2 linked regions of the Caenorhabditis elegans genome follow. The protein of the gene in region 1 interacts with the protein of each later gene in a pairwise test. Each region holds a gene or a part of one and is shown on either strand. Other genes may lie near its edges.

Region 1 (9,051 bases):
GCTGCTTTGCCGGCTTATTTGGCTGGAACCGTCGACTGTAGTAGGGCCTTGTCTTATTGAGCACGATTTTTGCCTGAATTTTTTATAAAATTAGGAATTTTGCATCTTTTGGTGACAATGTACCGGGAGAGAGAAAAAAATTCGAAATAAATTATCAAGCTTTCAAAAAATTCCACAAACTTCAAAATTTCTCCAAAATTTCAAAAACGTTCTTGATGATTTTTGGAAACATTTGAACATTTACTGTGAAAATGTTTATAAGTAGAAAACGCCTACACTCGCAATATTAACCCCACCAACTCCCAACCCAATACCTCTTCTGTAGACAAAAACTCAATTTTTCCTAAACTACGGTAACCCTACCGTATACCTACAGTACTCCTACAGTACCACTACAGTAGCTTGGCATTATCTCCCACCAACTCCCAACCCAATACCTCTTCTGTAGACAAAAACTCAATTTTTCCTAAACTACGGTAACCCTACCGTATACCTACAGTACTCCTACAGTACCACTACAGTAGCTTGGCATTATCTCCCACCAACTCCCAACCCAATACCTCTTCTGTAGACAAAAACTCAATTTTTCCTAAACTACAGTAACCCTACCGTATACCTACAGTACTCCTACAGTACTACTACAGTAGCTTGGCATTATCCATCACCAACTCCCAACCCAATACAACTTCCAACTACAGAATAGAGAGTTGAAAGATCAAAGATCAAACTACAAACTACAAACGGACGGAAGGACACGCGCTTTATATTAGGTTGAGCAAAAAGTCTTTGCAAAATTTGTGCTTTTCTTCATTTCTCAGCGTTAATTCATTTTTTTCTGATTCCGTTTTTGTTATTTGTATAGTACGTAATGAGCATGTTTAATACATTTGAAAAAACTTTTGGGTGCTGTTCAAAATGACCGAGAATTTGCTCGCCGAACGTCACGCCCTCCGAGGGGTTTTTCTGTACGAGTTCCCCCAAAGCTGCAATTGCAACGAAGCTCGTCGTAACATGTGTGCAGTGTTAGGCAAGAACTCTGTCACCTACAATACCATGAAGTTTTGGTTCGAAAAGTTCACGAAAAAGAACTACGATCTCGATGATAAACCAAGATAAGATAGCTCTCGTTCGGATATCGATGAGGATATTTCGAGAGCCCTGGAAGATGATTCAAGAGCAACGTCACGCGAACTTTCTGCGACTTTCAAGCATCCCCAAAAAACCATCATCAACCATCTCCAAAAAACCGGAAAGATAGAAAAGTTCGGTCAACTCGTTCCTCACAAATTGTCCGATTCTCAGAAAAATTGCTTTGTGACCTCTCTCTTTCGCTGCTCACTAGGAAACGAACAACGGACTGGGTTAAGGATATCATTACTGGAAATGATAAATGGGTATTGTATGTTAGCCATACCAGGAAAAAAGAGTGGGTCCCGGTCGAGGAAACCGCGACACCTGACCTCAAATGAGAACTTCACGGAAAAAAGTGCTTCTCTCAATTGGGCGGGACAGTAAGGGTGTCATTTCCAGAGAGCTTCTTCCAGACTTTGCTACAATCAACGCTGGCCTATACTGCATTTAATTGGAAGAGGTGGTCCATGCTCATCGATTACATCGCCCTAGAGGATCAAAGTTGTTGCTGCTCCATGACAACGCAAGACCGCATACAACTTCTAAGACCCGCCAGAAGCTCCAGACAGTCGGAATCCAAATTTTGTCTTACCCATCGTATTCGCCGGGCTTGGCTCCTACTGACTACCATCTGTTCCGCTCACTCCAGAATCACCTTGCCGGGCAGAAGTTTCATGATCGAAAGGTCGTCGAAACGAAACTTAAGTACTTCCCACCAAAATTTAGAAAACAAAAGTTAGAATTTGGTCTGAATTGAAGTATTGCTAGAATCAATGTTTCATTAAAAATGTCTTTATTATACATGATTTTCGATATGGCGAAATTATTAGTGTCAAGAGAAACTGAGCAAGAACAACTAATTTTTACAAAAAATATTGCAAAAAGAAAACTAAAATTTAAAAAACAAAAGAGAACAATATAACGATAAAGTAGAGAACAGTGGATAAAGCGAAGATGACGTGGTTCAGAGCATGAGCAAATGCAGCGTATTGGAGAGTTGAATCTTCGTGTTTTGAGTTCTTCGGAATTGGAAGGAACTTGTTCACGAGCCCGGCAAATGTGGAGACTCCATGTGGGGGTGGGATGTCTACTTGTGAAGTTGCCATTCTCTCGAGAACTAGGGAAATTACGAAGAGGATCGCTGTCCACGTCATGTTGAAGCCGGCGTATTTCACTGAAAAATTTTGAAATTTCGGAAGCTTTGAGAAAAATTTCGAAAATTTTCTGAGATTTTGCAAAAAATTTATATCAATAATTTCAGAGCGATTTGAAGTTTTGGAAGTTATTGGAAAATTTTTATTATTTTTTTTTGAATTTTAGCAGTCTTTTGATCATTTTTTACAACTTGGTTCTGTAAAATAAAAAAATAATGCTTTTAATTTTTTGATCTAGCTAAACTTCCCAAAAGTGTTGAATTCGAGGTGTTTTTTTTTAATTTCAAAACATTTACAATTCAGCCAAAAGTATTTGACAAACTTTAAAATGTTCAAATTAATTTGGTGCAAAATTGAAATTTAATTTTTCCAAAAATTTAAAAAATAAAACCAAATTGAAATATAAAAAAAAAAAACGTTTAATTTTTCCAAAAAAAAAAACATTGAGGCGAGATGCGATTTTTCAAATAAATCTGGCGGCAAATTCCAATTTCAAATGATTGAAAATTATTTAAAATCGATTTCAAAATTTTTTTGATATTTTTGATGCGACTCCGTCCGTCCACATATTGGCAGTTTTAACAACGAAAAGCCTAACATATTCGAGTATGAAAATGTTTGAATTTTTTGGGAATTATTTCGAAAAATTTCTGAAAATTTTGAAATTTTTTCAAAAACTAAGGTTAACTTTTTTTGATCAAGCTAAACTTTTCAGAGTTTAAATTAGAAGTGGCCAAAATTAAAAATATTTGAAAATATTAAAAAGTTTTATAAGGAAAAAATTTTACGAAAAATAATAAAATTTTAAATTATTGCTAACAATTTAATTTTTAGTCTTTCAATTTAAATTGGCGCAAAACTGAAATGTAGTTTTTTCCGAAAAATAAAATGAAGCGATATGCAATTAACTTTTGTTCAAAAATAATTTTTTTTAATTTTCAAATGATTTTGACGCAAATCCGCTCACATATTAGCTTTCTTGGCACAGAAATAAACTTACAAATAGTTGGAGTATGTGCAGTGAACGATGGAAGTCTCTGAGACACTAAAATAAGTGACAAAATCTGTGCAACTACCGAGAATCCCAAAAGAATCGGCTGGGTCTTAGAAAGTTGGAAGAACACAGCGGCCAGCGTGAATAGAGAGGTGATCAGAGCTGGGAGCAACATTTCGGCGGTGAAATATACCGCATTTCTTCTCAGCGAAATACAGAGCTCACCGTTGTCAGCTTGGACATCGAAGGGATTACGACGAGGATCCGAGAGCTGCTCCACGGTGTATGGGGATTCCTGAAAAAACATTGAAAATGGTGAAAATTGAGACTGTTAGGTAGAAGCTGAAGCTCTGAATTAAAAATTGATAAATATTGCGGTTAAATTAAGCGAAAGCTCTGTACTATATTTACAAGAAGCTGTGAAATGAGAAGCATCACACAAAACTTGCCAATCCATTTTTTCCAGTGCCTCCGTTATCCGGAGAGTGGGTAATTGACTTTAAAGAAAATTTTAATTTCAATTAAAAAAAAAACACACAAAAAATTTGGTTTGAAAAAATGCTATAACTTCTGCAAGTTTCCAAAGTATCTCAAAAACTCACCACAACTTCAACGTCTTCAATCTTCCATCCAGACACGAATGGATCAGTGGTGGCTTCTCTTTCCTTATTCTTAACACCCTCTGCAACTGTGAAGTGTACTGCCATAAGACGTTTGTCGTCGAATTTATAGCAAACCTGAATTTGAAAATTTGAAAATTCAAAAAAGGTTACTTTGTCAAACAAGATTCTATACACTTAAATTCAAATTTTAAAATCTCAAAAACTTTATTCAAAATTTTACATTAATAAGTAATCGGTGAATCATGTTTTCAAACAAGGTGTTACCTACGAATTAGTCACTGGGTTAATACTTTTTCAGCTTTCTAACCCCTATAATTTTGAAATAAATAGAGATAAAAGATATAAAATTTGGGTCGATGCACCATGTTCAAAAATTTTGCACCGAATTGTTCAAGTTTCTCAAAAGATATCTGGCATATTCCATCAAAAATTGCCAACTGACAGAATGTTGTAAACCAGTATTTTTCTATAGTTTTGTACGTGTTTCTAAATTTTTTCAAGCCAAACGGCAAATTGATTCTTAAAACATTGATAATAAAATCTACCCACCCTCTGCATATCATTTGGATAGTCTTCATACTGGAATCTGAACGGTGTAGTGAATGAGAAATCCGACCATAAGTAGATCTGTCCGGTGTAATTTGCAGCCAAAACTTTTGATGTCACCTGTCCAGGGTTTGATGTAGAGCCACCGTTGATCTGCACAATATTTGGGGTCCAAATTTGAATCCAGTAGAAGTTCAACCAACTGAGCCCCCACTGTTCCTTATCCCAAGAGACCATAGTGTCGTTCCAGCTGAGCACGAATCTGCCAAACACCTTCACATTCTGCCGACGTTCGTCAATCTCGACATTGTTGATTCGGACGCTCTCAACTCTCACCACCTTCGTCTTGTTATCAGTCGCATTTTGGTAAGTGGTCTGGATATGGGTCCTGAGCTTCCAGGCCCTGTCTCCTCCCTGACAGGAATGACAAGATTTCCTACAGTTTGCCATCATCCAGACCGCATTGGTAGCACATTCCCCGGTGGCCGCCCATTCGGTGCATTTGGGGTCCGCGTCCTCGCAGCCGCCGGCGGTGCCCGCCGCCCACGCTAACGTGGCGGCCAGTGACGTGGCAATGAGAAGCCGAAGCATTCTGGAAGTATTTAAGTATTGAAGAGTATAACGGACTTGAAAGAATGGTTGAAAAAAAAAGAAGGCAACTGAAAAGAAAAGTGATCATCAATAATTAAGTGGTAGTCAAGGGTAACGAGAGGAATGGAATACGAACCGCCCCGGTTTCGTCGTTTGTATCTTCTTTTTTTGTTGTGTAAACTAGATTTGAAATGGTCGATTTTCAACTTTTTTTTGGTTTTTTTTCTGTTTTTACCCCATATGACTTTGTGTAAGAACGGCGACCTTTTTTGACATGATCAATTGAATTGACCATTTTAAAAATAAATTGATGAAGATATAATGATGACAGTGAGCTTAGAAATTGCTTCGGTCAAAGCCATTCGGCCTGAAAATAACTCGGCCACGGTCACCTGCTAGTCCTATAGGTTACAATTATGATGTTACAGGGAGCCTAGAAAATTCAAAATGGTGACGTCCTAAAAACTTTTTCGGCCAATGAGAGGTTTCGTTTTGTGAGTTCACGTGTGGCTCTTTGGCCATCTCTTTATAACTACAGAAAGCTCCTTTGTGCCGTCACAGGTGATTTGATAAGCCTTAGTGAACGTTTTGAAGATTATTCATAGATTTGAAAATTATTGAAAAAAAAACTTCACTTTCAATTAGTTATGCAGAACGAAAATGTTTACAAACAATTTTTGTTTCTGTTATCGGATTTTCTTATTTCTTTTTTTTTTACAGCTTATATCTCGTTTGGGTTTAGTTTTGTTTAAAAAGTATTACTTCAATCAAAAACTTACAAAAATTAAAAATTTAACCGATATGTGTAATCAAGTGGAGGGGCCTTAGAGGAACTCTGCTTGGATTGAAAGTAGGGAAACGGCGGCCGCAACTTATTAAAATTGAATGAGCAAAAAAGACTGGAGAGAGTAGTTTACTTGAAAAAATTCCATATTTACATAATATAAATTAATGAAAATTAAAACCAATTGATTCTCGGAAAGCAAGGTTTTCATCAAAAGTACGAAACATGCCGATAATGACCACAAACGACTCGAAAAAAGAAACAATAAACGCGACAAAAAAGCAAGAGAGACCCGTCCGCCCAGCTTCACATCCCCCAAACGGGTTGTCCGAAGGCTAGTTAGCCGCCACACGCCGCCGCCACCGCCTTAAGCTTCTTCTCATCAGATCTCGTTGACGACGACGCAACAGGTCTGCTGAGATAATGATAAGGTTGTAAAGTGGGGGCCTGTTCCCGAGATAATGATAATGACGGGGGAGAAAAGACACCTACATGCAAAAACCGACAAAGGGCTTTCCAATGATCAAATCGTTATGGGATTAGACTGTCATGGGATTTTCTGATTTTGGAATCGGGATTTGAGATAGAAACTAGAATTTCGCTGGTTTTTGATTTATGACTTAATTGCTTATGGACATCAAAAGTTTTCCAACTAACAATTTAGAAGAATAAAATTATACATATTTTTTATAGATAATTTTTTTAACCCAGACTGAAAATGAAAGAGAGGACCGGTTTTTTTTTTGGATAAAATGTTTAAAAGGATATTTAAAATTTGAAATTCCGGTTCTTTTTTTTGAAAAATGAAATTTAATTCAAATTATATTTTTTAAAGATATTTGAAATTCTTGTCTTGTCGGAAGATATTTTGTTAAAAATGTTTTTTTTATTTCCCGCCAATTGTTTTTTAAACTAAAGTTTAAATTGTTTTTAAACTTTGAAAAAAATTAAAACAAAATTTGAATTCCCGCCAAAAATTGTTAGATAATTTAAAATCAAAATTATCCCGAAGTGCCAATTTTTTGTTTTAAAAATATAAATTTTGAAATTTCCGCCAAAACTCTTCACAACACTTTGGAACATTAGAATTTTTGTAAAGTTTTTTTTTTGAAATTTCCGGCAAAACTGTTTTCAAATTCCAGTAAAAAAACCAATTTTTAAAATAAAAATTTCCTCCAAAACTGAAAAAATTGAATTTTCGTTTAATTTTTTGCAAAACAAAAAAATAACAAATAATGGAATAAACAATTGAAAAAATTAATTTTAAAAAAAAATTATTACATTCCTACCAAACCTAAAAACATTTCCTATAAAAAACAATTGGCAGAAACTAATTTCCGTCGTTAATCTTCTGCCAAACATCTTTCCACCCAATAACACACTACCTTTTTCTTATACCCGTCCGCCGAACCAGTTTCCTCCTAAAAAATCGATTATTTCCAGCTGGGGTGAATGGGCTGTCAAGTGTCCACTGATGGTAGTCAATTTGAAAGGTCAGACTATGATAAACTGTGGAAGCGCATGAATTCCGTGTCGGAGCCCGTGCCGAGCCACGGGAAGAAGCCACCGAAAAATGTGCTCGCGGAGCACGGCGGGTGGAAGATTTTGAGAATTCTACTTGTTTCTACTTACAAGGATTTCAGGAATGAAAGACGGGCGGTTTTGGATTTGGTAAGTGCCGCTCACGTGTGATCAGCTTTGTGATTTACGAAACATACAATAAGCTCCGCCCAATTTGTGGGTGGGGACTATTAAGCTACGCCTCTTTTTGTTGCAATCTGGGATATGCGCTAGAATTATAGTACACTTGAAAAAATGAAGTTTTCAGGTGGAAAACAAATTACAGCCAATTGCATCGGAGAAGCATGTGATTTTACAGGTGGAGGACTTCAGTTGGGTGAGTTTTCAAACCTAGATAGACAGTAGGCGGGCAGTAGGCAGACAGTAGGTAGACAGTAGGCAGGTACTAGGCAGGCAATAGGCAGATAATAGGCGGTTTTAAGTCAAAACTATATTCAAAATCTTACAGGGATCAAAGGCGCATTTGGAGGAAGCTTCTAGTCTATACCTGATAGAAAGACTGTGTCGAGAAGCGGTTTCAAGTTCCTCATACTTCTATTTGCACTTCCTCGGGTGAGATAATGATGGCTGATCAGGACAGAGAACCAAAAACCAGTTGGAAACAGGCGTTCGGAGACTGGAAAGAGGGGCTGATTGACCATTGTTTTGTTTAGTGGCGGCAATGAAGGACGTCTCTTAGAGGACGGATAAAAAATGATTATGATTGTCGAAATACGCTGGTGGACATGATTTCTGGATAATGTTTTGTTGGGATTAAGGACAGGGGGATCCAGTTTCTTAATTATTGTGTTTAAATCTAAAAAGTAAAGGATGCCTTGTAAAAGGTATAGGCTGCCTTTGACGTAGGTAAGCAGGCATAGATTGCCTGGAAAAGGCGTTGACATGTACATAGGCAGGCACATGAACATTTAAGGTAAGGAGGCGCGCATAGAATGCCCTGAATGTAAATAAGCATGGCAGGTTAACAGGCTTAAAACGCCTTAAAGACCGGTAAGCAGGAAGGCATGCATAGGCTGTCTTAAGGTCACATTGATAAAAAGGCAGTCAGGTACCGCCTTAAAGGTAGGTAGATAGGCATTAGGCCGACTTAGACAGATCGCTTTGAAAAGGGCAAGTACGCAGGAAAGATTTTTTGTAACAAAAAAAGGGAGGAAGGCAACCAAGCACGCAATTTCGTCAATTCCAGAGAATGTTCCGGATACATACTCGATCCCAACTTTACCGACCAATCATTTCTCCGGCAGCACTCAATTTCCACAGGCCAATCGTTTTCAGAAGTTTTCCTCCAACTCTCAGGTCTTCAAAACGAAAAATGTAGACTTTTTAGATGTAGCTTTTTCTGAATTGCATTTTTACAGCTCTCTTCCTCTACCGTAACCCAAGTTTTCACCAGGAGCTTCCCTTTAATGTGACCCATTTTATAGATGGTCCTGTGAATCGGGAACGAGCAAAATACCTGACAACTATGGTGAGAGGAGAGGCACCTGCGTCGAAATTCATTGAGTATTCTGTACGAACATCTGGAATTAACAATATTCACTTTAAACATATTATGTTTGACGAATTAAGTGGAATCACTAAGCCGATAGAAGCAATGGTGGGGAAGTATTTGGAGAAGCTTCCAGATGGAGAAGCGGGAATTCCGAG
Region 2 (7,198 bases), on another chromosome or scaffold:
GTCAACATCAATCGAACCAAGAGAAACAAAAACGAGAAAATGGACTGGACAAAATGACGTTCATAGTGTGCCTGGTTGAGCTGATCTATTTTGCATTTGTAGTTTATTCACTTCAAATCAATCAATACATGAATAAGCGAATATTTTACTTTTTATATAACATCCTTTGTGTCATATATTCAACGTTCTCAGCCTGGATGCTTCTGATCATATCAAAACCTATTAATTCTCAAGTTCGTCAGCGATTCTCGTATATCACCCAGAAAAATGATATTTAATACTTAATACAACATTTTCAGAAATCTCGGTGGTAAAAAGTTGACCCGGTCAATTTCAATATCCGTCCAAGGAAGTCGAGATAATAACAAATCATGAATTTTTATGGAATAAATTTGTACATATGATCTCAAAGTTCTCAAAGTTCCCAGCGGTCAAAAATTGGTTACTTACTCGAATGAAAAATGTGATTTCATATTCTGGGGGTTTTTGTCACATGTTCCACTTACTCACATTTTCGCAAATCCTCTGATTTTCCCACCGCTGCACATTTAACATGCATCTCCAATTTTTTATTTCGCTTCAATAATCTTGAAACAAAACCAAACACAGATTTTACAAACTTTCAAAACGAAATAGGTTGGCCTATGATCAGGCAGCACAATTTCGAATCTGAAAATAGTTTCTTGGTTTTTTGTTTTTTGTTGAAGTAACTATTTCAGTTTTTTGGATCTCTCATTTGCAGCTCCTGAGATCAGGATAATTTCAGTTTTCCAGATGAATAACGTGGTTTACGACAGCTTCTCTGAGTGGTTTCTCATTGCAGAGACAGCTTCATTGACTGTTTTATTTGCAATTACTGTTATTTCATTTGCAGTTTATTTTGTAGAAATACAAATTTTATTCACTTCGAGGAATTCTACTTTCAAAGGTCAGAGAAGATAATATTATTGGTTTTAGGAATTCAAAAAACGTTTAAAAATCCAAGAACTAATTCAAAACAGCACAAATTTCTCTGAAATAAAAAATGTTTCAGGCCCATTCTACCGTCTTATGTTCATTGGAATTCTTGTTGACATGATATCTGCCGTAAATCTTTTTGCGTTACAAATCCTGCCAGCTAGACAGTAACCGTATTCCACATATCTTCTAACCAAAACCCTCACATTTCCAGATGGTTAGCATTATTTTATTTTCCGAATGAAAGCTGGCTCGGTGCAATTTTCTATGCAATTTCGTATGGAGGTCGTTGTGTCCAAGGAGCAACCGCTTCAATACTATCATTTTGTCGTGTTTGTGCGGTTTGCTTCCCATTGTTTTATCAAAAGGTAGATTCATGATGATTCATAAACCGATAGTGCTTATAAACCAGTTCCCCAGTTTTGAAAATTCCTGAAGTCAGCTTCATGACTCATCGTCTTATCAGTTTTCAGCTGAGTTATCCAAAATACACGTACACAATGCAAGCCATCCAACTCTCAGGAGCAGTTGCATCAGTGTTTCTCTTGCTCCCACGCGAGTACAAGTATGTGAATGAGAACGGAGGGTATGTGTGACACTTGTTTAACCTCAGAACACATTTTTTGTTTGCATTTAAACTTCAGATATTACTCGGCATTTGTTAACAACGAGTTCAGGAAACCATTTTTCAATTTTGTGGCGGTACTCGAAATTCTTTTTGTTTTGGCAATTGTTGTGAACAATTTGGTCACTTATATAACGTATAGATTTAAACTCAAAAAAGTGGGTTCAAAATATAAGAAAGAAGCATGAAAATGAAATGTGGATAGTGAAACATCGGCATGATCTTACAAAAACATAGAAAACAAAACTTGTACTCTATTAAAAAAAAAACAAAAAAAATTGTATAAATCTTGACTGCTACTTTCAGAAAGTGTTGTCAAGACGCACTTCGGTGGCCGGATCCAAATATCTTGACAGTAGAGAAAAACAGAAAAAAGAGAGCAGCCTGGACAAAATGACCGCTATAGTTTGTAGTCTCGAACTTATTTATTTTGCATTTGTTGTGTACTCTCTCCAAATAAATCAAACGATGAACAAGAGAGTTTTCTATTTTCTCTATAATATTCTTTGTGTCATCTATTCAACCTATTCAGCGTGGATGTTACTTTTGTTTTCAAGACCAATAACTGTGCAGTTTAAGCAGAGATTTTTGTACGCTTTACACTATAATTCCCAAAAAAAAACAATATGTATTTCAGAAGGCTTAGCTCAAAACGATCAACTCGTTCTATTTCAATTTCAGTCCAAGGAGGCAGCCGGGAAAATAACAACAAATGAAAAGAAATCAAATTCAATTGACTTTTTTGTTGAATGCTTGTCGGCTCTTATCTTTTTAGAAATAATGATAACTTTTTCATGCATTATTGAACGGGATCTTATAGTTGAATTGAGAAACACTCGATTTCGTGATACTACAAAACACAGTTATTTTCTTTTCAACAGTTATTTTCTACAACAGTTATTTTCTTTTCAAAATATCACAACAAAAGTTACATGAGTGTTTTTGAAAATTTATCAGTACAATGAAACCTTCAAAAACATCAGTATAAGTTTCCTCAATCAAATGTCAATGAGAAAAAAGTGGGAAGAAACCCTCATTAATTACTCGTACGATGGCTGTCCTGTGTGATACGTAAAGAAAGAGCACAGAACACGAGCGATGAGTCATTTTCTCAACTGGCTCAATTCAGCTTCCCGCCGCCCATTTAGGAACTGATTGTAAAGTTTTACGTATATAAAAATAACGATTCAACCCAGTGTGAATAACTTTTTTTTTCAAATTTCACTCGATATTAGAGTAATTTTTATCGCGTAAGATCTCACAGTTTTTTCATCTTTTGAAATCCCGTATCCTTGCACTATTTTCATTGTTGATATGGATTTTTTACATTTTAAATTTTTTTTTAATTTCCGTTATTTACAACGTGTGTTATACAAGAGACACATAGATCTTTAAAAATAGTAGAAAATGTAGAAGTGTAAATCTTGCAAGCAGGGAACATTTTGTAAACTAGGTATATTTTTGGTGATTTCCCTGAAGCTGTCAAGTGTCAAATACGACGCAGATAAAAAACATCCGCAATCAAGTCAGATGGTTTTTTGATGATCATTTCCCGAAATAGACCAGTGACCATGATTCTTTAAAAGATCTTCAACTCAATAGAGAGCAAACTATACACATTGTAGCTGGCCTATCACTTTGGGAACAAACTGGTGTCTAACTTCTCAACCGCCTCTATGTTCGCAGAGATTTTTATTTGGTGTTTGCAAAAATGTATATTCAATCCAATTAGAAATCAAAAAAAAATCAATTCAATGTTTAAATAACTTTCCTATCACAAAAATGATTGTTCCGACAACCGCTAAAAATGTGATAGTTGTATTCTACGCTTTATCATTCATCAATACTTCTCTTCACTTTTTCCGATTAGTTTTTTTTCCACTTGAAGCAATGATTTTTCAAAACTTGTTAGTGATTATTTTTAATTCGGGAGGAAACTATTACCACCATAGTGTACATTTGTGTTGAAAACCTAAGTACTTAAAGACGGTCCCTTGTAGGATTATTGTATTGTTTTGAATAAAGATTAACATTACATCTAGTTTTACGAGGCGTTAGCCCCAAATTCTAAATCAAATATCAAAAGACATCGTCGACTGAATCGTCGTTTTAAGACATTTTCCAAGTCTTGTCCAAGTTCAATGTTCAAGTTTAAATTTAATGTGTGTTAAACTCTGATCGCATATAATATTCTTTCAAGTGCTTTCAACTGATTACTGTTTTTATCTGAAAAACACAAGGCAAAAATTATAGTAAACGTACTCTATTTTTAAACAAATTTAAATCCTTGTAACTGTAATCAATATCAACTTGAATTCCAGTGAAGGAATGGAAGAATTAAATAAATACAAACAAGAGATCAAGGATAATGCATTGAAGGAACTGGTGAGCTTTTCGTTTGATTAATTTATTAATAGAAACAGTTAGAAAATTTCAATTGATTTATAGTTTTGAAAGTAAACAGAGGCGCCATATGAAAGTCTATTTCATAAAGAGCATTAATAAGCAGTTGTACAAATTTATTAGATTTTGAATATAATTTTTAAAAACGTTTAATTTTTTAAAACATTTCTTAAAGGATTCGACAAAGAAAAAAATTAACGAGGAGAAAAAACACTGGGGTGATTTACCATTAACGTACATGCCAATTTCCAATGGAACAATGACTAGAGAGTACGCAGAGGTACAATTTATAATTTTAGAAAATCAGTCCACCCACCTTAAAATGATTAATATTCCAGACTGAACAATTTTATAGTCACGTTGTCAACGTAAAAAATATACTCGATAGTTTGTTCGAAGAAGTAGAGAACGATATCAAACGGCTTGATGCAATTTTCTGCTTCAATGAATACACCGTATACGGACAAGAGGACATAGAACAAATTAAAGAAAATATAAAAAATGAATATAAAACATCGGTTGCCCATTTCAGCAAGCTATGGTGAATTTTTAATTTTTCAAAACAATTTAGTAGTTTCTTAATATTCAGGGAAGATATCAAAGCAATGAGCGTTCTTCTTCGTTCATGTTTCAATAAAACATGGGACCGTCATTCCGAAGTGACTCTCCTTGTAAATCTTCTGATTGCCATACTGTATCGATTATTAGTTCCGTTGCAGACTGTGATCCAAACCCTTGATGAATCCATTAAACACGTTAGTCTATATCTTTGAAGTAGTAAACCACACAAAAAATAAACAAAAAAATTGATTCAAATCAAAATTTCAGTCAGTCAAAGCCCAGAAATAGTATGTGGCACTTTTAAACTTAAAAATCTTTAATCAATTAGTTATTTTTTGCAGAGAGGTGGCCCTAATTATGACAAGAACAATGACAATTTCTTCCTCTTGAGAGAATGTGGATCCGCTTTAAGAGAGTGTAACACTCAAATTAAAATGGACGAAAAAAATTTAATCATTCGGATAATAAACACAAAAGATTTAGAAGGAGGCTTTAAAAAAAGCTTAGAAACTCTATTGAATGAAAATGAAAGTGCGAATTTTATCAAGTTACTCGCAGAATACCTGGTCAGTTTGAATGCTTCAATAGGGAATTCTTATGTTGTGATCGACTTTTTGAAATTGTAACTTTCAGGAAGGAGTCAATTTAAATGTGGATGTACAAGTGCTGAAAGAGAATTTCTTCATATTTGCCCAAGGAATCAAACAATTTTATCTCAACAATGTCGAGACACTTAAAGATTGAACAATGGACTCAAAATTGTTTTCAAAATACCTTAACTTATTTTTCACAGTTAGACTTTCGAAGTCTTTGTTTAATTTTGTTCAACTTGCCAGATTCCAATGTTCAGAAATAAAAAGTTTACGAAAAAAACATATGCTTTTCTTGCAGTCAGAGAGCAGTGTTTGAGACCAAAATTTCATTTCGAGAATTGGGTCAAAACAATTGACTTGATATACAGGTAAAGGAAGATTCAACAATTGATAACAACGAATAAATAAAAGGAGATATATCTAAACGTTATTAGATCGTCTAGTTCTTCTTGTGTCCAGCGTAGGCTCCTCCGGCTGGGGCAGCAGCCTGATATCCTCCGGCGGCTGGAGCGGCTTCAACGGCAGCTGGGGCAGATGCTTGGTATCCTCCGGCTGGGGCAGCTCCTCCGAGTGGGGCAGATTCAACAGCGGCTTGTCCGGCCTGGTAAGCTCCTCCGACGGCTGGGGCGGCTCCTCCGAAAGCTGGTCCAGATTGGTAGGCTCCTCCGGCTGGGGCGGCTCCTCCGAAAGCTGGCCCGGATTGGTAAGCTCCTCCAACTGGGGCGGCTCCTACGAAAGCTGGGGCGGCTTGGTAAGCTCCTCCGATTGGGGCGGCTCCTCCGAAAGCTGGTCCGGTAGCGTATCCTCCGACTGGAGCAGCTGGGGCGGTGGCATATCCTCCTGCTGGGGCAGCGATTGGGGCAGCGGCGCATGGAGCTGGTCCTCCGCATCCTCCTCCGAGGGATGGAAGAGAAAGTCTTGGGAGCTCAAAGCGTGGGAGTTGGAGTGGTGGAAGAGCTGGTGCTCCGCATCCGCATGGTGGTGGTGGTGGTGGTGGACTGGAAAAGAAAATTTGAAGTTGAATCATGAAATTAAGTTTTGATTTCTGCAGTTTTACTATTAGAGGAATCGACAATGAATGGCTTTTACTAAAGATAAATCTCAGGAACCAGAAAAATAAAATAGGTGAAGAATATAAAAAAAAATCTGGAATTTAATAAAATAAATCAATAAAATCAAAAACTTACGCGCATCCACATCCTCCACCTCCTCCAGATGGAAGAAGGAAAGCCTGAGCGGCGGCGATGGTTGTGAAGAAAACGATGAGCTTCTGCATGTTTAATAGAAGTGTTAGAACCAAATGAATTGGATGACTTTTACCGATTGGCCCGTCGCTTAAAAAGGGTGAAGCATGTGGGCGGGGCTTTTCGAATAAAATGCCAAAGGAGCCTGCCTTTCAGGCGAGAGGAAGGTATTGGTCAAAACCAGAAATTGCGACATTGAGGGAAATCTGACGTACGGCACGGTGGGACATGAGGGACGCGCGGAAAAGGACAATTGATATGACGAGTTCTGCAACGAAAAGTGTTTCTCTCTTTCTCTTCACCTCATGCCAGACAACGGCAGATCATGGATTCGGATAATAGATATAAGGAAGGTGAGACAACCAGCGGCATTGATGGGGCGAAAAAGCGAAATTAGGATTATCAGGATTTTACGGTGAGACGATGGGAATAGATGCGTGAAATGAGGCATGCAATAATACATATGCAAAAGTCCAAGGTTTGCCAAAAAATCGTTTGACGAAACTTTGAAACTGTTCTTTACAGGACTAGAAGCTAGATAGATTTGAAACGCATTAAGGTTTTGTTATCTTGAAATTAGCATAACTTAATTTTTTTTACAAGTTTCATGAAAAACTATCTCGAATACCCAATGTTTCAGATTTTTAGGCACTTTATTTTTTAAAAGGCATTGATTTTATTGGGAAGTCCAAAATAGAGATGCGTTTTTTTGCGGATTACGTCTCTGATCGTTTAAATTTTTAAATTTAAGTTTCTAACACTTTGTTATCATCATTCAGTTTCACATTTTTCGGAAGATTCAGAGATTAAGATTC

What was found. Proteins that work in one complex are often made in the same cells at the same time.
Region 2: the proteins of lgc-22 (region 1) and F53F1.6 interact in a two-hybrid assay, tested with the Caenorhabditis elegans proteins (one large-scale study listed by BioGRID).

What each region holds. Positions count from the first base shown.
Region 1 is NC_003282.8:4,297,297-4,306,347, reverse strand, and holds lgc-22 (ShKT domain-containing protein), read right to left. Parts: upstream 5,043-9,051; 5' UTR 5,040-5,042; coding exon 4,452-5,039; intron 4,017-4,451; coding exon 3,882-4,016; intron 3,777-3,881; coding exon 3,729-3,776; intron 3,575-3,728; coding exon 3,286-3,574; intron 2,306-3,285; coding exon 2,028-2,305; 3' UTR 1,900-2,027; downstream 1-1,899. Other genes in the region: F15E6.9 (RING-type domain-containing protein), read left to right, coding at 7,276-7,494, 7,652-7,720, 7,853-7,956, 8,591-8,718, 8,763-9,051.
Region 2 is NC_003283.11:13,414,317-13,421,514, reverse strand, and holds F53F1.6 (Protein containing ALS2cr12 (ALS2CR12) signature), read left to right. Parts: upstream 1-3,901; 5' UTR 3,902-3,910; coding exon 3,911-3,967; intron 3,968-4,160; coding exon 4,161-4,265; intron 4,266-4,323; coding exon 4,324-4,526; intron 4,527-4,574; coding exon 4,575-4,740; intron 4,741-4,887; coding exon 4,888-5,112; intron 5,113-5,179; coding exon 5,180-5,290; 3' UTR 5,291-5,419; downstream 5,420-7,198. Other genes in the region: srv-9 (Serpentine Receptor, class V), read left to right, coding at 1-250, 300-375; srv-8 (Serpentine Receptor, class V), read left to right, coding at 775-928, 1,034-1,124, 1,172-1,325, 1,431-1,543, 1,602-1,740, 1,889-2,172, 2,220-2,298; cut-2 (Cuticlin 2), read right to left, coding at 5,579-6,137, 6,327-6,415.